2 linked regions of the Macaca fascicularis genome follow. The protein of the gene in region 2 purifies or fractionates together with the protein of the main gene of each other region. This does not show direct contact. Links are inferred from orthologs where the notes say so. Each region holds a gene or a part of one and is shown on either strand. Other genes may lie near its edges. The genes, in order: MTCL2 and RNF41.

What was found.
Region 1: the proteins of RNF41 (region 2) and MTCL2 purify together in Homo sapiens (affinity purification with mass spectrometry; 3 studies listed by BioGRID and IntAct, with this or other methods). This does not show direct contact. The link is inferred for Macaca fascicularis from reciprocal best matches to the Homo sapiens genes RNF41 and MTCL2.

What each region holds. Positions count from the first base shown.
Region 1 is NC_088384.1:92,976,486-92,987,757, reverse strand, and holds the start of MTCL2 (microtubule cross-linking factor 2), read left to right. Parts: upstream 1-4,458; 5' UTR 4,459-4,652; coding exon 4,653-5,339; intron 5,340-11,272. UniProt on the Homo sapiens protein: Microtubule-associated factor that enables integration of the centrosomal and Golgi-associated microtubules on the Golgi membrane, supporting directional migration. Preferentially acts on the perinuclear microtubules accumulated around the Golgi.
Region 2 is NC_088385.1:62,992,094-63,001,924, forward strand, and holds the end of RNF41 (E3 ubiquitin-protein ligase NRDP1), read right to left. Parts: intron 6,977-9,831; coding exon 6,705-6,976; intron 4,378-6,704; coding exon 4,242-4,377; intron 3,829-4,241; coding exon 3,725-3,828; intron 2,562-3,724; coding exon 2,210-2,561; 3' UTR 258-2,209; downstream 1-257. UniProt on the Homo sapiens protein: Acts as E3 ubiquitin-protein ligase and regulates the degradation of target proteins. Polyubiquitinates MYD88. Negatively regulates MYD88-dependent production of pro-inflammatory cytokines.

The sequences.
Region 1 (11,272 bases), on a different chromosome or scaffold from region 2:
CGGGCACCTGTAATCCCAGCTACTTGGGAGGCTGAGGCAGGAGAATGGCGTGAACCTGGGAGGCAGAGTTTACAGTGAGCCAAGATTGCACCACTGTACTCTAGCGTGGGCGACAGAGCGAGACTCTGTCTCAAAAAAAAAAAAAAGAATAATTCAGTTTAAAGGCTGCCTCCTAGCTGGGTGCAGTGGCTCACACCTGTAATCCCAGCACTTTGGGAGGCCAAGGTGGGCTGATCACGAGGTCAGGATATCCAGACCATCCTGACCAACATGGTGAAACCCCATCTCTACTAAAAATACAAAAATTAGCTGGGCGTGGCGGCTCATGCCTGTAATCCCAGCTACTAGGGAGGCTGAGGCAGGAGAATCGCTTGAACCCAGGAGGCAGAGGTTGCAGTGAGCTGAGATTGCGCCACTGCACTCCAGCCTGGCAACAGAGCTAGACTCCATCTCAAAAAAAAAAAGGCTGCCTCCTCCAAGAGGCCTTCCTGACTCCCCTGTTTAAAGAGGTTTCCTGACCAGTTCCTCTAATTCTCCCATAGCCAGAGTTGCTTGTTTCTTTCATTTGTATAGTGAAAAAAAAAAAAAAAAAGAAAACAAAGAAAACAAAACAACTTTTGTCTAAAAGAAAAAAACACACCTCCTCTTGGAAACTTTCCAGGAGTGAGTCTCCATTCAGTTTTCATCACGTTGGTCAATTTAGCAGCTTGAATGGGAGAAATGAAACCTTTTTTCCACTTGGGTAATCAGCATCTTCACTTCTTATGTTGTATAATTCTTACAATGTAATGCTTCAGTCTTTTTTGAGTAGAGCTTTCTGCAGCACACACTATGTGCCTGCACTGGGCACTTCGCAGCCCAATTGGGTACCACAACAGGCTCTGGAATCAGGCAGTCCTGGGTTCAAGTCAATCCCGGCCCTTCTACTTCTGAGCTGTATAAGTATTGGTCATGCATTCCTGCTACCCAGTGCTACGTAACAAATGACCCCAAAACTTAGTGGCTGAAACAACAATATTTATTTTGCAGTTTGGGCGGGGTTGGTGAAACAGTTCATTTCTGCTCTACTTGTCCACTGGGGTGGCTCCAAGCCTGGGGGCTGAATCATCTACAGGCTCACTCTCTCACATGTCTGGTGGTTAGTGGGGACCAGAGCTGGAGTTGTTGGCTAGATCACCTTCGTGCGGTCTCCACATGAGGCCTGGGCTTCCTCCCATCATGGTGGGTGAGTGGCCAGAGAGAGGGAGAGAGAGAAAGAGAGAGAGAAACAAGCTGGGTGGAATCATGTTGCTTTTTATGACCTAACGTTGGAAGTCACAGATGAACACTTCTGCCATACTCTGTTGGTTGAGGCAGTCACAAGATCTGCTGAGATTCAAGGTGGGGGCACACAGACCGTGCTGCTCAATCGGAGGAGCATCAGTGACACATTGTAAGAAAAGCAACCGGGATGAGATACACCCTTTGGAAAATATTAATCAGCTACAAGAAGTATCTTCACCTTTTGGAGATCCTTTACTGAAATGTGGAGCATAGAGCCCGGCACGCAGAGAGAGGCCATATGTCACACAGCTGCAGGATGTGCTGGCAGCAAGGACGGTCACCCTGTCTACAATGTAGCCAGTTCTGGACTCTCAATAAGTCTCATCTCCTTTGTGGTATCCCTGGTCTGAACTGACCCTGAGTCCAGAGTCCCTACATCAGCCCCACCTAAACCCTCCCCACCAGGGCCCTGTTGTTCTCAAGGCTTCCCTGGGTCTGCAATATAGATTCTTGACTCCCCAAATCCAAAGAACATCACAGCAGGTGGGAGTCACAGGCCCCTTCCTGGCCAGCCATGAGTGTTGGGCCCAGAGAGGATACATGGTAGAGCCAGGACTCAGATCCCCGCCCTAGTAGAGAGATGCAGGCCACTTTAATCTCAGGACCACTGATGTGACCAAGGATGTGTCAGGAGTGGCTGAGCCAGCCTGGTCTGCTATGTCCCTGCATTCACACCACCCAACACCTCCAAGTCCATGTTCTGCATAGTGGGAGAAACTGAAGCATAGAGAGAGGACACGCTTTCCAAGAGCTTCACAGCACGTTTCTGTGCCAGACTAGATGCAGCCTGCTAGAGCCAGGGGCATCTGAGCTGGACGGATCCCGTCATCTGTTGCATTAGACCAGAGCAGCTGGGGACTCTGAGGCCCGGAATGTGGGAAGGCCTGCCCTGGGTCACTAGCCTGCGGCTCCCACATCCTTCTCCAACACTCCTGCCCCCCATGCCGTGCCATGCCACCCTGTTTGTGCTGAGTCTTTTGTGGTCCCCCACACACACTGTGTGCTCCACGAGGTCAGGCACTGACACGCCCACCACTGCGTCCCTCAGTGTACCTGGCGCCTGTGCAAACAGGGTTTGTGGACAGTCAGTGGGGGGTGAGGCGAGTTGGTGTCTTGCCAGGAAGGGTGGGGATGCCCCTGCGGAAGTATTTGCCAAGAGCCTGCTGAGTGCCCGCTCCTCACTTGGCCGCGTGGAGGGCACTTAGCGTTGGGGTGGAGGAGCAGTCACACGCCTGGATCCAGATGGAGTCACGCCTCTGGAGAGAGGGGATGCCCCAGGAGTGTATTCACTGCGTGTGGGGGAGGTGGGACAGAGACAAAGAAGTGGACCTGGTGCCTGCTGTGTCACAGGCAGGTGCAGAGGTGAAGGAAGGGGATTGGGGGAGGAAGAAGGAGAAAATGGGCAGGAGGAAGAAGAGGGGAAAGAGGAGGAAAAGGAAGACTTGGAAAAGGAGGGGGGAAGGAAGGGGAAAGGTGGGAGAAGAAGGAGGAAAATAGAGCAGGGGATAAATGGGAGGGGGAGAAGGGAACAGGAGGAGGAAGAGGCTGCAGAGGGGCAAAAACAGTCCTGCCCTCCTGGTGGCAAGGGGTGTGGGGCGTCTTGAGGCCGAGGGTCCATCTGTGGGGCAAAGGACTCAATCCAGCTCTGCCCTGCGGTGGCTCAGGGATGGGGCACAGCAGCCAGGTGGCGTGGGGGCTGGGGAAGGTGTGAGAGACACGGGAAAATCAACACGGCCAGGAGCCAAGGAGACGCCCAGACGCCCGGGAGGAAAGAAAACACACCCACCAGAGCTCAAGTCCTCCTGCGATGCTCCTGGTGGGGACATGTGGGGTCAGGGCAACCGTCCCAGCCCATGCCAGCCCCCACCGGGGCCAAAACCGCCTTCCAAAGCATCCGCTAGGCTGACATCTCGTAATGGGTCGCCTCCATTTTATTTTTGCATTTATTTATTTATTTATTTTTTTGAGATGGAGTCTAGCTCTGTCATACAGCCTGGAGTGCAATGGCGCGATCTCGGCTCACTGCAACCTCTGCCTCGCAGGTTCAAGCGATTCTCCTGACTCAGCTTCCCGAGTACCTGGGATTACAGGCATCCCCACCACGCCCGGCTAATTTTGTATTTTTAGTAGAGACGGGGTTTCACCATGTTGGTCAGGCTGGTCTCGAACTCCTGACCTCGTGATCCGCCCGCCTCGGCCTCCCAAAGTGCTGGGATTACAGGCATGAGCCACCGCGCCCGGCCACAGGTCGCTTCCATTTTAGCCTTACATAGCCTGAAACCCGGGTCGGGGGGCGCATGGGGAGTAATCTTCGCCGGTCAAGGTGCGCGAGCCAGACATGCACGCAGGGCTCCACGGTCCCTACCCCAGGGGAGGCAAGCTGAGGCAGGGGGAGCCCGAGCGCGCCCGGGAGGTGTGAGCTTTGGGTTCCATCGGCACCGTCTAGACCGTGAGCTTGGCGCGTGCACCCCGGGCTTCAGTTTACGCATCTGTGCGATGGGATCGCTGCTCCGGCGGTGCCGGCTGAGGGGGCGGAGTTCGCGCACGCTCTGCACCGGGCGAGGGGCGAGGCGCGCTGGGTGTGCATGGATACGGGCTCCTGCGAACTGAGGTCCGCGCGGCCTCGGCCCGGGAGTCCCGGCTCCCGCCGCTCTCGCGGGCCCTGCCCGGACGCCGGGCGCAGGGGCGCCTCCGCCGGGTGCGTTCCCCGGGCGGGCAGGGAAGGAGGCGGCGGAGCGGAGGAGGAGGGAGCCCGGGCAGCGGCTGCCCGCGCCCGCCTGACCCTCGAGGGGGTCGCTGTTGCCTCGCAGATCCCTCCCTCGCTCCCTGCTTGCGTCCCTCCCTCGCTCCCTGCTTGCGTCCCTCCCTGCCGCTCTCGCCGCGTCCGCCTTTTGTTCGTGGAACCGCGCGCCCCCGAGCCGAGGCGGCGGGGCGGGGAGCTGGCGGGGCTGCGCGGGGGGCGGGCCGCGCCGGGCGGAGCCGGGGCCCGGGCCGCAGCCGGACTCGGAGCCCGAGGGAGCGATCGGCGTGCGGGCGGCGGGGGCCCGGGCGCGCTCCGGGGGCGCGGCGAGGCCGAGGGGGCGGGCGCCGGGCGGAGCCGCAGCCGGAGCCGGGGCGCCTGGAGGCGGTCGGGCCGCACTCTCCGAGCCCAGAGCAGCGGAGAGACCGCGCGGCGGGGCTTGGGGCGGAGACGCGGTGTCGGGGCCGAGGTGGGCCGAGAGCAGCCGCAGGCCGAGCGGCCGGAGCCGCGCCGGGTCCCTCCCCAGGGACGTCGAGGCCGGGCGGGCCTGGGCCATGCGCGCAGCTCGCTGAGGCCGAGGGAGGCCGCGATGGAGGCGCCGGCGACCGAGCCCCCGGTCCGGGGCTGCGGTCCCCAGCCCGCGCCCGCACCCGCGCCCGCCCCGGAGAGGAAAAAGAGCCACCGCGCGCCGTCGCCGGCCCGGCCCAAAGACGTGGCCGGCTGGTCGCTGGCTAAGGGCCGCCGCGGCCCAGGCCCGGGCGCAGCCGTCGCCTGCAGCGCCGCGTCCTCCGCACGGCCGGACAAGAAGGGGCGCGCAGTGGCGCCCGGGGCACGGGGCGCGGGGGCGCGGGTGGCTGGGGTCCGCACCGGGGTCCGTGCCAAGGGCCGTCCGCGGCCGGGTGCGGGGCCGCGACCGCCACCGCCACCTCCCAGCCTCACGGATAGCAGCTCAGAGGTGTCGGACTGCGCGTCGGAGGAAGCGCGCCTGCTGGGCCTGGAGCTGGCGCTGAGCAGCGACGCCGAGTCCGCGGCCGGAGGCCCTGCGGGGGTCCGCACAGGGCAGCCGGCCCAGCCGGCGCCTTCGGCGCAGCAGCCCCCGCGGCCGCCCGCCTCCCCGGACGAGCCGTCGGTGGCTGCGTCGTCGGTGGGCAGCAGCCGCCTGCCGCTCAGCGCCTCGCTCGCCTTCTCCGACCTCACCGAGGAGATGCTGGACTGCGGGCCCGGCGGTTTGGTGCGGGAGCTGGAGGAGCTGCGCTCGGAGAACGACTATCTCAAGGTGGGGGCGCCCGGGGGAAAGGGGGACCGCGGGGGGCACCGGCTGTCACAGTCCCGCGGGCCTGAGGCACCAGCCGGCCCTCCTTCCCACTGAAGAATCCGGAGAAAGAGGCCCAAGCCCTGGGGACCACTCTGAGGTGGATCTGGGGCTCCCTCATTCCCCACCGCCTCAACTTTATTTGGGAAGCATGCTCCTGAAAAAGACCTTGGAACTGGCCACAGGGCCCTAACCTGGGAGCGGGGACTTGAGAAAACAGCTTTGGAGCGTTCTGGGGGGCGTTGCTGGGCTGGGGGTGGGTAGGCAGGGAAGGGATGGATCTCTGCCTTCAGCTGCCCAGAACCTCCACGCCCAGGCTCTCCTTCCTGGGACAAGATTGGTGGGCACCACCGCCAGGGAAGCCTGTGGCCATCCCCTGCCCAGGAGAGGCCTGAATGCCACCCTGAGTCGTTACCCAGGGCTTTCCCGGGCGCAGGCCTGTCTCTGCCTGCCTTTCTGGGCGGGTCCAGTTTGAAAGCATGACATCTGGGAACATCCCCTTGGCTGGAGTCCACTTCCGCCCAGCCTAACGGTCCCACAGCCTGGAGGATGATGTCGTGGGAGAACCGGTTCAGAGGCAGCTTCCTAAATCCCAGGGCTGTGTTTTGCCCTCCCTGGGGCAGACCTTGTGCACACAGCAGCTCCACTGGCCCCTCGTGGCCAGTGCCTTTCCATGTTCCCAGTGAGAGGAGGGTAGCTGCCCACCTGGAAGGGGCCTTCCCTGTGGCCATGTGGGGACCCCAGGGCTTCCCCCGGACAGCAGGCTTTGCCTTTGCTTTTTCAGTGGATGTGAGCACCTACTGGGTGCCGGCCAGGCTCCATCTGCGCGCTTCCTGGTGCTGTGGCAACTTTAGGGACAGCCCAGCTTGCACGTGTTGACCTCTCCCTGGGAGGCTAGAAGCTTCCTGAGCTCTCCTGCCACTGGCTGGGCACGGTTTTGGAGGAGGCTGAAATGTTGCCGACTCTTGACAGTGAATGGCCTGGCACAACACCCAGAGTGCCCCTGGCCGTGGCGCTCACAGCATGCTGCTGATTTATGTCTGCCCTGCAGCACTTAGCTTTTAACTTTTCCTTGTGGCTATTCTGGCCAAATGGGCTTCTCCCTCATTAGAGTGTTGGTGTCTTGCTCAACTGTGTCTCTGTCTCCCCATTTTCCCCGGGATCTGCTCTCCAGCTTGAGTTCTGTAAATGCTTGTAGTGTGGAAGGACAAGGTCTGTCTGAATCAAGAGACACCGTTCCCCAAGCCAGGCCTCAGTCTCCTCATCTGTTAAATGGGAGGATGTCTTCCCAAGGGCCTGGTTCGGTGTTGGCAACTGGGAGTTCAGTCGGCTCTTAGAGTCTTCAGAAGCTGGTGGTAAGGAGAGGGCAAGTGGAAGGTGAGGAGGAAGAGGGAGGCGACCAGCCAGGACAAGGGTCTTTTGCTCCTGCCCTCTTGGTGCTCTGAGCTGCTTCCAGTGAGTGCTGCCTGAATTGGCGTTAACCGAAACTCTGAGCTCCTCACCCCTGCCTCCCAGTTCCTGCTACTCACTCTGGTGAGGGGGGGATGGGTTGCAGAGCTTTGCTTCAGGGCTCCTAGGCACCCATCCCCATGGGCTCCTCTCCGTCCCAGGAAGTCATCAGGCTCCGACCCAAAGTCCATTTGAGGCACCCATGACTGTTTAAAGGGGAAAACAATCCCAGGAGGCTGGGGGTTGAGCCCGGGATCTCACAGGGGCCAGGGCCCAGCTGGGGACATCCCACATCTGGGCCAGCATGGAGCCATAATTTCCACTGTTCATTCAGTGGCTCAGGCTTCATGCTGCTGTTGGGTCTGGGGTCTGTCGCTTCCTGACTGCCTGATCTTTGGCAAGTTACTTAACAGCCCTGGACCTTAGATTTCTCATTTGTAAAAATGGGACAGTAACAAACGCTTTCCAACCTCAAGGGTTAAATGAGCTGATGCCTGCAAACGCCATTAGAGCACCTGGTATGTAGTAAGCCTCCGATCACTGCTCTTGTCAGTGGCATGGGACACGTTTCCATGTGCACCCAGCCTGTTCTCTTGTGGGTTCTGTGAGGGCAGAGTAGATCCTCTTCATCGCCTAAGGCAGGCTGGGCTCTTCCTCCCGGCCCCTCCTTGGTTCATTCGCCCGCTGTTTATTTAGAACCTGCTGTGTGCCAGCACAGATCTGGGATACAGCCGTGGACGAGAGAGGGTGAGGTGTCTGTTTTCGTAGAGCTTTGGGGGAGACCGGAATTAAACAATAGTCATACAAGAAATCACAACACAGATCATAATGAGGGTGAAGGGGACAGTTTGCCAGGAGCACACAAAGGTTGGGGCTGAGGTAAGAAGATTTCAGGCTGAGGGAAATTGGAAAGAGCTTGTTGAGTTCAAGAACAGCGCTGAGGCCAGAGAGGGGAAGGAGTGTGGGTGAGAGAGGAGAGCAAGGCCAGCCCATGCCACTTCTCACTGTGTATACATTTGGGTTAGCCCCTTAACTTGTCTGGATATCTGTGTATCCCAGCCGCCAGCCTCACAGAGGCAGGGTCAAAATCCAGAGATTGAACGTGGACCACAGAGGGGTTATTACTGGAGGTGTTGTTTTGTTTATTCCACAGATGGGAAAACTGTGGCCAGAGTGGGGAAGAGACTTGCTCCGGGTCCCAGAGCCGGGAATCTAGGCTGCCAGGGCTTGGAGTAAGCGTGTGTTAGACTCTTTTTTTTTTTGAGACGGAATTTCACTCTTGTTGCCCAGGCTAGAGTGCAATGGTGCACTCTCGGCTCACAGCAACCTCCGCCTCCTGGGTTTAAGCCTTTCTCCTGCCTCAGCCTCCGGAGTAGCTGGGATTACAGGCACGTGCCACCACGCCTGGCTAATTTTGTATTTTTAGTAGAGATGGGGTTTCTCCATGTTGGTCAGGCTGGTCTTGAACTCTGGACCTCAGGTGATCTACCTGCCTCGGCCTCCCAAAGTGCTGCGATTACAGGCGTGAGCCACCGCGCCCGGCAGCATGTGTTAGACTTGTTTTTTTTTTTTTTTGAGACGGAGTCTCTGTCGCCCAGGCTGGAGTGCAGTGGCCGGATCGCCGCTCACCGCAAGCTCCGCCTCCCGGGTTTACACCATTCTCCGGCCTCACCCTCCCGAGTAGCTGGGACTACAGGCGCCCGCCACCTTGCCCGGCTAGTTTTTTGTATTTTTCAGTAGAGACGGGGTTTCACCGTGTTAGCCAGGATGGTCTCGATCTCCTGACCTCGTGATCCGCCCGTCTCGGCCTCCCAAAGTGCTGGGATTACAGGCTTGTTAGACTCGATGTGTTTTCTGCCTTTCTGGACTACTTTGCCTCTAAGATGCGGAAACTGAGTACAAGGGAAAGGACTCCAAATCCCCAGAATGTCCCCTGCAGGAGCAGAGTTGAAGGAGGTCCCACCACGTCTGGTGGATGGCCCTGCTCAGGCTTACCTCCCCCTTGTAGGGGTCACTGGGAACTGTCTATTGGGAAGGACTCTTGGGTGATCTCCAGTCTGGTGTGGCCTGCTCTGGGGCCCAAGTGAGGAAAGCATAAATTGGGCAGCTGTCTCCCAGTGAGAAGATAGAAGGAGCTTCTACAGAGAAGGTAGTGAGCTTACTGTCACTTTAATTATTCAGAAAGAGGCCAGATGACCTTTCATGCTTGGATAAAGACAGAGGGTTTGTGGAATGATTGCTTGAGGAGGGTTCAGAGGGAGATTGATGTGGTGGCTGCAGCTGAGCTGCCTGACCTTGGGTCCCTTCTAGCCAAGGAAGTCTGAAGGTTATTAACTACTGAGGTTCCAGGATGCTAAGATGCAGCTTTAGCTGCAGAGCAGACACGTCACCTGTGACCTTCAAAGACCCGGTGATCTGAGGTCTTCCAGCCTTTCATCACCACTAACCGTTAAGCATGTACCATGTGACCAGGACATGTAGGAACCCACTGGGTGTGGATGGAGGAGTCTGAGAGTTGGAGCCTGAAGACCTGACTTTGAAACCTGACTCTCCCATTTACTGTGTGGCCATGGGCAAGTTACCTGGCTTCTCTGAGCTGCTTTTTTTCTCATCTATATAATAAAGGTGATGGGGCCTGGCGCGGTGACTCATGCCTGTAATGCCAGCATTTTGGGAGGCCGAGGCGAGCGGATCATCTGAGGTCAGGAGCTCAAAACCAGGCTGGCCAACATGGTGAAACCCCATCTCTACTAAAAATACAACAATTACCCAGGCGTGGTGGCACGCGCCTGTAATCCCAGCTACTCAGGAGGCTGAGGCAGGAGAATCACTTGACCGTGGGAGGCGGAGGTTGCAGTGAGCTGAGATCGCGCCACTGCACTGTAGCCTGGGAAACAGAGTGAAACTCTGTCTTAAAAAAAAAAATAAGTAAAGGTGATGGAACCTGCCCGGACAATCTCATATGATTGTCATCAGGAATCAGGGAAGTATGAATAGACAAGAAAACATTTTGCTAGCAGTGAAATCCCAAGTCACCTGAGGAATTGTTGTTATTCATAGCCAATGGGCAGACAGGAGGTCTGTGTCTGCATTCTTGGAGGAACTGGGAGAATGCAGGAGGGTGGATTTCCTTAGTTTTAGAATGTTGATACATCAGTAGCTGTCCCAAGGAGGATGGGAAGGTGTGATCACCTTCCCTGCCGTGTGTGTGGGCTCCCTCCTGGGTGATTCTAGATGTGAGTGTTTGAAGTGCAGCCAGTCTAGGTGTCAGCTCAGAAGGGCCTGGAGGAAGCACCTAATCCATCCCCGCTTGCCATTTTACAGATCAGTAAATGGAGGCTCTAAGTTACATAACCAGGATTCCAACCAGGTTGGTCTAACTCTGGGCCTGTTCTTTCTGCAGTGTGACCAGAGCAGTGAGCTTTTGGTTGCTAACTAGCGTGTCTAGGCTGGGACACAGGTTGGTGAGAGGAATCCTGTCATGGACCAGGCTCTAGGCTAAGGCATGCTGGGGGCCCGGAGCCTGGGGGAGGTGGGGGTTAGTGGAGGACGTTTGTGTGTGCACACGTGTGAGATTGTTCCTTCTTCTGTAACATGGGGGACAAGCATGCCCACCCGGGGCCGTGAGGACCCTTTTCAGTGTGAGGATGCAGATAGAGTGCACAGTGAATGTTAGTGTCCTTCCCAGTCATTGCCGTTCCCTTGTCTGTTTCTCCAGGCATTCATTCATTCATTCAACACATATTTCCCCAGTGGGTCCGGGGTACCAGGCCCTGTGCTGGGTGTCTGGACTCAGTGACCACGTAGTAGGCTTCTGCATGTAGCTCTTCTCTTCTCGGCTCCCAGGAGCTACAGGGGAGGACTCCAGTCTGTCACTGGGTGGAGGAGACAAGGTTACCACAGTCAGCAAAACTCTTGGCTGCTCCCTATCCTGAGGCCCAGCCTCAGCCTCCCAGGGGCCGAGCCTGTGTCCCTGGGCACACTCTCTCTTGTATATACAAATGCACATATATGTATTCACAGCTCAAGCTCAGAGACACACAACCACTGGCACATGTCTCACAGACCCATCCAGTGACTCGCTGGTGTTGGATGCTTTCGGAAGCACGCTTCCAGACATATTAGAGAGGATGCTCACTCAGAGAAGTGCACACACCCAAGCAGCTACACAACTCCCGTTCCATCACACCCACGCATCACCACACAGACACAATGGAGGCTGAGACCCTGTTGCAACCCCCAGGTCAGAAACACATCCTCATATACACGTCTTACACCCCCAGACACACCCGGATATGCCCCAGAGACTGACATCCTGCAGACACACTCAGACTCATCAGAAGTACACATGAAGGCGGGGATACAAACCCACGCAGACATTATACACACACACTAGCATCCACGGAAGTCGACACATCTACGCTTGCCAGGCTGGCCCAGGCACAAGC
Region 2 (9,831 bases):
GACCCTGGGAAGCACACAGTTCAGATAACTAGAGAGACACCTTTGGCTGCTACAGAACAGGAGATAGGAGGGAAGAATGCAGGAGGGTACATGGGAAAGCAGCTGCGAAGTGCACACTACTCCCAGACATCCTCCTGAAAGAGAAGTTAGCGCTAAGATAAGGGTAGGTAACAAAGTAAGGAAGAAGGGGAATTAAGGTGAGAGAAAGGCAAAAGCAGAGGGGAAACCTTCCCAGGAAAGGGAGTAATGTTGAAGAATTTAGAGAGTTGAGTAAAAGGTTTATTATTAGTGCAGTCAACACCATGGAACAGCACATACAACACAACCAGCAACCCGCAGAGACACTAGTGCAAAGGGTAGGGAAGCCTTTCACTGAGCTTCCTGGCTCCATCTGAGGGTAAGGACAGGACAGTATAAGCCTTGGTAAGGCAGGTAGGGGAAAGGGGATTGGAAGAAATGTAGTAACCAGAATAAGTATAGCAGCGTTTTCAAATTCCTGAGCACAATGTCCCGGAGCTGGAACCCTACTCCCCTCAAGCTGTATCCCTCCACCCCAATCCCAGTGGAGCCATGATCCAACTACCCAGACCTGCAGCAAGCTAGCCTGGAATAAAACTCTGAGAGGAAGCTATCACATGGTGGGGAGGAGACTTTCTATCTCCAACCACACTCCCACCTCCATATTAAAATTATCACACCTACTATCCCTCCCCTTCTCTTACTTACTCTGCCAGTCACTCTAGGGATCAAGGTATGCCCCAGGTAACCTGAAATGGAACTGAAGTCCCCGGGGGGTGTGGGTGAGACACAGCACAGCCTGTACTTAGAGATAAAATTTCTGATTTGCATGGTGAAGCTTAGAACCCAGCTATACAGCTCCAAGAAAACTTGGGGAAGCGGGGGGTTGCCTTCAAAATGAATACTCTAAATCCAGAGTTTTATGATGAGGCCCTGGAAGGGCTAGGAGGAAATTTTTCCAGAGGGCACAGGCATCGATGCTGGACTGTCATATCCTTCACAGGAATAGAGGAAGCTCCTCATTTCAGTTGGGGTTACAGAGGTTTGGGGCAGATATTGTAAGTTCAGCCGAGGACTCCCTTGGCTCTTCCTATATTAAAGCCAAAGGTTGTGCTGAAAAGGAAAAAATATAAAACACACCCCCATCCCTGTCCCACCCTATCCAAAATCCCCACAATAGGAACATCAAAAGTTTCAAGTTTGATTTTTTTTCTTTTTTCCTTTCTTTAAAAAAAAAAAAAAAAAAGGTAAATAAATTAAATTGCCAACAATGTGGCTGAGATAGCCATGATCAGGCCATTCTTAAAAAAAAAGGGGGAAGGGGAGGGGAAGTAGGTGGAGTTTGTGAAATATAAACAATGGCCAAAGAAAATTATCAAAGTAACTAACTACAGTCACAGGGCTAGAGAGGGCTCTATGGAACAATTATGGCCTGTGCCACAAGAGGCAGTGCTGACCATATTTTAGCAAAAGCTAGGAGTAGCTTCTTGCTGAACACATCAACCCCAACAGACTAACCCCTACCCTAAACCCTGGCATTCCCTAATTATGAAAACTTATAGGAAAGAAGAGCTCATCTGGAAATTTTCAGTATCCCAACCTGCATACTGGTAGACCCAGTGGGTGCCTGCACCTTTAAGGTGGACTGAACAGGGATACTGCTTGGCACAGAGGTCCAGTCTTCCCCTAAGGGCCATCCGTGATGGCCAATTACTGGCCTCACTACTTATTTCTAGAGATTTGGCTCCACCCTTACCATTTCTTCAGGATGTCTGCTGCTTAGAGTCAACAGGCCTGCCTGCTCTGATTCCCTGGTTTTGGAGGAGAGGGACGACTAGAGATTCCTTACTCTGTCCTGACACTCCAGGGAAATTGAATCTCTTTGTGCTTTCTGAAAATAACTGGAACCAGGAACCCTAAGCAGGAAAATGGATGGAGGTGGGGGCTTTCCCACTCAGACTGACAATTTATAGACATTTTAGGGGAATATGGCAAAGGGAGGAAATCTGGGTTTCCCACCTGAAAGGCTGAGCAAACTACCCCAGGGCCCTTCAGTGCCAGAAGGGCAGTGAGATGTGTGGCTCAGGTATAAGCCACAGTATTAAGGATGGTGGAGAGGACTCAGGTCCCAGCTGCTGGAGTGATGGGATTTTCTGATTTCCATCTCTTCCTGATAGCTGGTCGGGTTCTCCTATATCTCTTCCACGCCATGAGCAAATATCATGACAAGGCCTGGCTCCTGCACCATGTCATCACCCATATGTTGGTTCTCACAGGCCATCACGACAACAGCCTGCTTGCCAGGGATGCGCTTGGCCACGTAGTTCTCATAGTAGCGTCGGTTCATCTGTCTAGTCTCTAGTGTGGCCAGACCCTGGGGCCAGCTACGCTCATGGGCATTTTCAATCAGCTCGTTGACAATAGAAGCAGGACAGCCACTCTCCACCAGGGAGCGCTTGATTACAGCCTGGAGCACGGCATCAGGAGTCGAGATCATCCCTCCCCAGCGGGTCACTCTTGCTGGCTGAAGGGAGTTCACCCACCTGTGTGGAGGTGGTTAAAGATGGTCATTCCAGATCATCTCCTTTCTCTGTATTGGCTTTTTCTGCTAATAGAAATAACTACCCACTCTGCACTCAGCTCACCTATTCTTCCTTCTTTCCTTCCATGATTGGCTCAGAAACCCCGAATTTTCCCCAGTTGGTCCCAACTGAGTCACCAAACGTTACTCACCAGATTAAATTCCACGAGTCTACACTCTGTCCCTGTTACTTTTCTTTGAAATTCCAATACTTAGCACATACAGCACCTAACACAGTTAGTGCTCTATGTTTAGTGAATAAAACAATTATTCCTCTATACTATGTCCCACTCAGCACTATTTGCCCTATATATATTGATTCACACTTACAGTTTAGTCTATGAACTGTATAGGACTCCAGAACTGAAAAAGATCTTAGACTTCGCTTGTATACTTCACTTGTTTTTGCTGCATTTTAGAGATCACTTTCCTGGACTTGCACTCTGCCTCCTCTTCTCTGGGTTGTAAGCTACCTGAAGACAGGGATAATATCTTCTATTTCTTTTTTTTTTTTTTGAGATGGAGTCTCACTCTGTTGCCCAGGCTGGAGTGCAGTGGCGCGATCTCGGCTCACTGCAAGCTCCGCCTCCCGGGTTCACGCCATTCTCCTGCCTCAGCCTCCGGAGTAGCTGGGACTGCAGGCGCCCATCACCACGCCCGGCTAATTTTTTTGTTTTTTTTTTCAGTAGAGACGGGGTTTCACTGTGTTAGCCAGGATGGTCTCGATCTCCTGACCTCGTGATCTACCCGCCTCAGCCTCCCAAAGTGCTGGGATTACAGGTGTGAGCCACCACGCCCGGCCTATCTTCTATTTCTTTTTGGCCCTCCTAGCACTCCACAGCCTTTAATACAGGGCTTTGTACATGGGTACTCACTTAATTCTGGATAAAGTGCATCCTTGGGTAGGCTTTCCCTTCCATCCACCCAAACGCGTAAGACATCCTGTAGTGGAGCTAAGGGTTATCCTCTTCTCCTCGGCCCCTGTCCTTAATGCCAATATCTGAGAAGCAGTGACCCCCCAGCCCAGCTCTCCAATGCCCTCCTTCTGCTACTCTCCTGCTCTTAGCGCCTTTCAGGCCTTACTGTCAGGACGTGGAATCACTCCATGTCCTGAGTGACACTCACTCTAGGATCTCGTTGTATTCAATTGTCTCCTCCAGGTTCTGAAGGTTGGGGTTGACACTGCGGATTGCACGCATGTATGCCTTTAGCAGCTGGATGTCTCGCTTCTGTTGTGGAGAAGAAGAACAGGAATAATGGTTAAGGCAGACAGCAGAAAAAAGACAAAAGTTTATCCGAGAATGAGGACAACTGAGAGATCTGAAGAACAACCAGTTTGTAAGCTTCAGGAAGACAGGGATAGGACTGTCTCACTCACAGCTGCCTCCTTAGTACTTACAAAATGTGCCTTCACAGAGGAGGCATCTGGTAACTGTTAGGTGAATGAATGCTATGAATGGGATGAAGGAAAGTCAAGGAGAGCTCCAATCTGATTCCCTGCTAAGCCACAGGCAGAATAGCCACTCATCCAAACTCACAAGTGTAAGCACAGGTCTATGTGTTCACAACTGGTTTTATTACCCACAGGCAGGCAGTTATCTGCATATGAGGGATATGTTCTCCCCCGTGTCTTGGGGCCTACCTGCTCCGCCAGCTGGTGTTTGTGTTCAGCTGACGTCTTCTCCAGCTCTGCGATGCGTGTCTGCTGCTGCTGTACCACTGAGCGCAGGTGCTTAATGCAGTTATGGTTGGGCAGCTCATCTTTGGGCATCTCCAGGCTGCAGACCAGGGTGGGGAAAGAGCAGAACAGGGGTGATCACCAGGACATGTATGCAAATGGCCTATTCTGTGGCAGATAACTGCTGAGTAGATTTTGTCCTACCCAAAATTTCTAACATTCATTTCAGGCCTCCCTCATTCATTCCCTTCACTTTCTTCTTCCAAGCTTCCTACTTGCCCCTTTGCTGTCTATTTTCCTTAAATTTCTTTCCCCAATCAAGACACAGTGTTTTATCTACTTTTTATATTTATTTTATCTTATTTTATTTTTTATCTTTTTTTTTTTTTTGACATGGAGTTTCGCTCTTGTTGCGCAAACTGGAGTGCAATGGCACGATCTCAGCTCAGCACAACCTCTGCCTCCCAGGTTCAAGCGATTTCTCCTGCCTTAGCCTCCCGGGTAGCTGGGATTACAGGCGTGCGCCACCATGCCCAGCTAACTTTTTGTATTTTTAGTAGAAACGGGTTTCCCCATGTTAGCCAGGCTGGTCTCAAACTCTTGGCCTCATGTGATCTGCACTGCCTTGGCCTCCCAAAGTGCTGGGATTACAGGTGTGAGCCACTGTGCCTGGCCTCTTATTTTACTTTTTTTTTTTTGAGACCAGGTTTCACTCTTGTTGCCCAGGTTGGAGTGTAATGGCACAGTCTTGGCTCACTGCAACCTCTGCCTCATGGGGTTCAAGCAATTCTTGTGCCTCAGCCTCCTGAGCAGCTGGGATTACAGGTGCCCGCCATGACGCCTGGCTAATTTTTGTATTTTTAGTAGAGACAGGGTTTCACCATGTTGGCTACACTGGTCTTGAACTCCTGACCTCAGGTGATCCACCCGCCTCAGCCTCCCAAGTGCTGGGATTATAGGCGTGAGCCACCGCACTGGGACTATTTATTTATTTTGACACACTGTTTTTATCTACTGCACAGCTCTCCTTTTCCTCCTACAGATTCTGCCTGTGCACTTATTGCTTCAGAGAAGCCCTATATTCACAGCCCCAGCTATCAACATTCTTTTTATTTCTTAGTTAGTTAGTTAGGGGGAACAGAGTCCAGCCCAGGCTGGAGTGCAATGGTGTGATCTCAGCTCACTGCAACCTCTACCTCCTGGTTTTAAGCGATTCTCATGCCTCAGCCTCCCAAGTAGCTGGGATTACAGGCATGCACCACCACACCTGGCTAATTTTTTTTTTTTTTTTTGAGACAGAGTCTTGCTCTGTTGCTTAGGCTACAGTGCAGTGGCGTGATCTCGGCTCACTGCAAGCTCCTCCTCCCTGGTTCACGCCATTCTCCTGCCTCAGTCTCCCAAGTAGCTTTCCCCTACAGGCGCCTGCCACCACACCTGGCTAATTTTTTGTATTTTTGTAGAGATGGGGTTTCACCGTGTTAGCCAGGATGGTCTCAATCTCCTGACCTCATGATCTGCCTGCCTTGGCCTCCCAAAGTGCTGGGATTACAGGCGTGAGCCACCACACCCGGCCCCACACCTGGCTAATTTTTGTATTTTTATTTTTATTTATTTATTTATTTATTTTTTGAGACAGAGTCTCGCTCTGTTGCCCAGGCTGGAGTGCAGTGGCGCGATCTCGGCTCACTGCAAGCTCCGCCTCCCGGGTTCATGCCATTCTCCTGCCTCAGCCTCCTGAGTAGCTGGGACTACAGGCGCCCGCCACCGCGCCCGGCTAATTTTTTGTATTTTTAGTAGAGACGGGGTTTCACCGTGGTCTCGATCTCCTGACCTTGTGATCCGCCCGCCTCGGCCTCCCAAAGTGCTGGGATTACAGGCGTGAGCCACCGCGCCCGGCAATTTTTATATTTTTAATAGAGACTAGGTTTTGCCATGTTGGCCAGGTTAGTCTTGAACTCCTGGCCTGAAGTGACCTGCCCACTTTGGCCTCCCAAAGTGCTAGGATTACAGGTGTGAGCTAACACACCCCTCAGCTATCAACATTTAGTCAAATATTTCATAACTCACAGAAAGAAAAAATAGGGTCAGAGGAAATATGAGAAGGCTGGCAATTACAGCAGTCAAACTGACAAACAGAAAGTAGTATTGGACTGAAAGGGAAGAACAGAGTCAATCAACCTTTAGTGTTATTATACAAATTTACTGAATTGCTGTGCCCCTTCTTTTGTTAAAGCAAGAGCAAAATTATTATAGTTGGAAAAGCAGCAAGAAAGTCAGATCTTAGAGCAGGGAGCCAAGGAGGCTAAGAATACTCCTTGCCAACATGCCTAAGAGACCTCCTCAGCTAGTGAGGAGGGCATCCAGCGATAGGGGCATAAATGAGATGGCCCTTATCCATGTGGGGCAGAAGAAGGGAACAGATCTCACCCACAGCCCTGTTCACAGGTCACAGGCCGTTTCGGGTTGTGCTCACAGTCGCTGAGGTGAGACATGAGGTTGTCAAGCCGGACAACGGCACTACAGCCAAACACAGCGTTGTCACAGGCAATCTGCAGCTTTGACAGCATGTTCCGCATGATCCGAGGTACCGGGCGCAGATGGGCGACCGTCACAACACTACGGTCCACTGGACATGTCTGTTGCTGAGAGAACCACTGGGTGATGCAGGCGTTGCAGAAAGCATGTTCACAATGAGGTGCCTAGGAGAACAAGGCAAAAGGGGCATAAGGGAATTAGCAGGACCTAAGAGCCTGGATATGATAACTCTACAAAGCCAATCATGCCTTTGAGCAGCTTCTACCGCAAGAGGTCCGTTGGGTCAAGCAAAGTATAGATCTACTATGGGCAAGGCATTGTAGGGGACAGGCTTAAGATATGTTTCCTGCTGGGCACGGTGGCTCATGCCTATAATCCCAGCACTTTGGGAGGCTAAGGTAGGCACACTGTTTGACCTCAGGAGTTTGAGACCATCCCAGACAACATGACAAAACCCCATCTCTACAAAAGTTACAAAAATTAGCCGGGTGTAGGCCAGGCGCAGTGGCTCATGCCTGTAATCCCAGCACTTTGGGAGGCCAAGGCAGGCGGACCACGAGGTCAGGAGTTCAAGACCAGCCTGACCAACATGGTGAAACCCTGTCTCTACTAAAAATACAAAAAAATTAGCCAGGGGTGGTGGTGCACACCTATAATCACAGATACTCAGGAGGCTAAGGCAGAAAAATCACTTGAACCCAGGAGGTGGAGATTGCAGTGAGCCAAGACTGCACCACTGCACTCCAGCCTGGGCAAAAGAATAAGACTCCATCTCAAAAAAAAAAAAAAAAAATTAGCTGGGCATGGTGGCACGTGCCTATAGTCCCAGCTAGCCAGAAGGCTGAGGTGGGAGGACGGAGGGTGGCTTGAGCCCAGGAGGCGGAGGTTGCAGTGAACCAAGACTGCACCACTGCACTCCAGCCTGGGTGACAGAGCCAGGACCTGTTTCAAAAAATATATATCTATGTTCCCTGTGCTCAAGATTAAAAATGAGTTGTGAAACAAGACAAACAAGTAAAATGTTATATAACAATAAGAGATATAAATGATATTCCAGGACAATAGGACAGATGACACAAGGCAGCCAATTATTAATTGCCATCTGGATTGCACACACAATAATTGCCAAAAATGTCCAGAGGAGGGTGAAGTCTTTTCAGGCTAGCTCAATCACGGCAGGTATTTATGAAGAGGACCAAATTTGATATGGTCTTGAAGGATAATTCAGATGATAGATTTAGAGAGCAGGAGAACATATTTACTGGCAAAAATTCAACGTCAGAAAGCTAGGCCAGGCGTGGCGGCTCACGCCTGTAATCCCAGCACTTTGGAAGGCTGAGGCGGGCGGATCACGAGGTCAGGAAATTGAGACCATCCTGGCTAACACAGTGAAACCCCGTCTTTACTAAAAATACAAAAAATTAGCCAGGCGTGGTGGCAGGCGCCTGTAGTCGCAGCTACTCGGGAGGCTGAGGCAGGAGAATGGCATGAACCTGGGAGGTGGAGCTTGCAGTGAGCCAAGATCATGCCACTGCACTCCAGCCTGGGCTAAAGTGCGAGACTCCATCTCAAAAAAAACAAAACAAAACAAAAAGAAAGCTAAATAAGGCCGGGCACAGTGGCTCATGCCTGTGATCCCAGCACTTTGGGAAGCTGAGGCAGCCAGATCACTTGAGGTCAGGAGTTTGAGACCAGACTGGCCAACATGGTGAAACCCCCATCTCTACTAAAATTACAAAAATTAGCCACACATGGTGGTGCGCCCCTGTAATCCCAGTTACTCGGGAAGCTGAGGCACAAGAATTGCTTGAACCCGGGAGGCGGAAGTTGCAGTGAGCCAAGATCGCGCCATTGCACTCCAGCTTGGGTGATAGAGCAAGATTCTGTCTCAAAACAAAACAAAACACTTTAGTTTCCCATTACATTTTTTTTTTTTTTTGACAGTCTCGCTCCTATCGCCCAGGCTGGAGTGCAGTGGAGTGATCTTAGGTCACTGCAACCTCCGCCTCCCGGGTTCAAGCGATTCTCCTGCCTCAGCCTTCCAAGTAGCCGGGATTTTAGGCTACTCCCACCCCACCCAGCTAATTTTTTTTGTATTTTTAGTAGAGATGGGATTTCACCATGTTGGCCAGCTTGTCTCGAACTTCTGACCTCAAGTGACCCACCTGCCTCAGCCTCCCAAAGTGCTAGGATTACAAGTGTAAGCCACCATGCCCGGCCTGTCAACTTCTTCATAACCATTCTAGCTAAACCTGCCACCCCTGCATAAGCATACAGAATGTACTACCTTTTGTGTAACAAAGAAAAGGAGGTGTGAAAAAACACAGATATATTCATATATACATATGCATATACAAATACATATATATGCAGACATCTATTCATATTTGCTTGTATCTGCCTTAATACTCACTGGAAGGATACCAAAAAAACTAATAAAAATAGTTATCTGTGGGGGAATTAGGTAGACAGTAATAAGGACAGAAGTGAGAATTCTCACCGTATACCTTTTTATACTATTTTGATTTCTGAATTATGTTCATTTTTCACCTATTCAAACAATAAATAATTATGATGTGGGGAAATCAGCATCCCTAGCAGGAGCCTTCTAACCTTAGAAATGTGTCCGGGAACCTGGCATCATGAGGGTTGCCTGCTCTGCTTCTCAGAAGGTAAAGCCTGGAGGTAGATGGGTGGCTTCTGACTAGACTGTCACCAACTACAACTCACCTTTCCATAAGTGACTTGCCTAAAATGATAGTGCCAGAAAACAGACAAGGCCCTGCCAGGGTGAGGAGGGAACCTGACACACCCTGTGACCTCCTGACACTACTACTTGATGACTTGCTCCACACCCATCTAATATGCCTCTAATGGCAGCAGATTGCAAAGGCCTAGAAAGAAGACAGGTCCAGAGCTGGTTGCCATTGGAATGTAGTCTGAATTTTATTCAGTTCAAGGCATCAGTACTCCTTTTGGAGTACTGGGAGAAAAAATAAACTCAAAGGCTCAAGGGGAG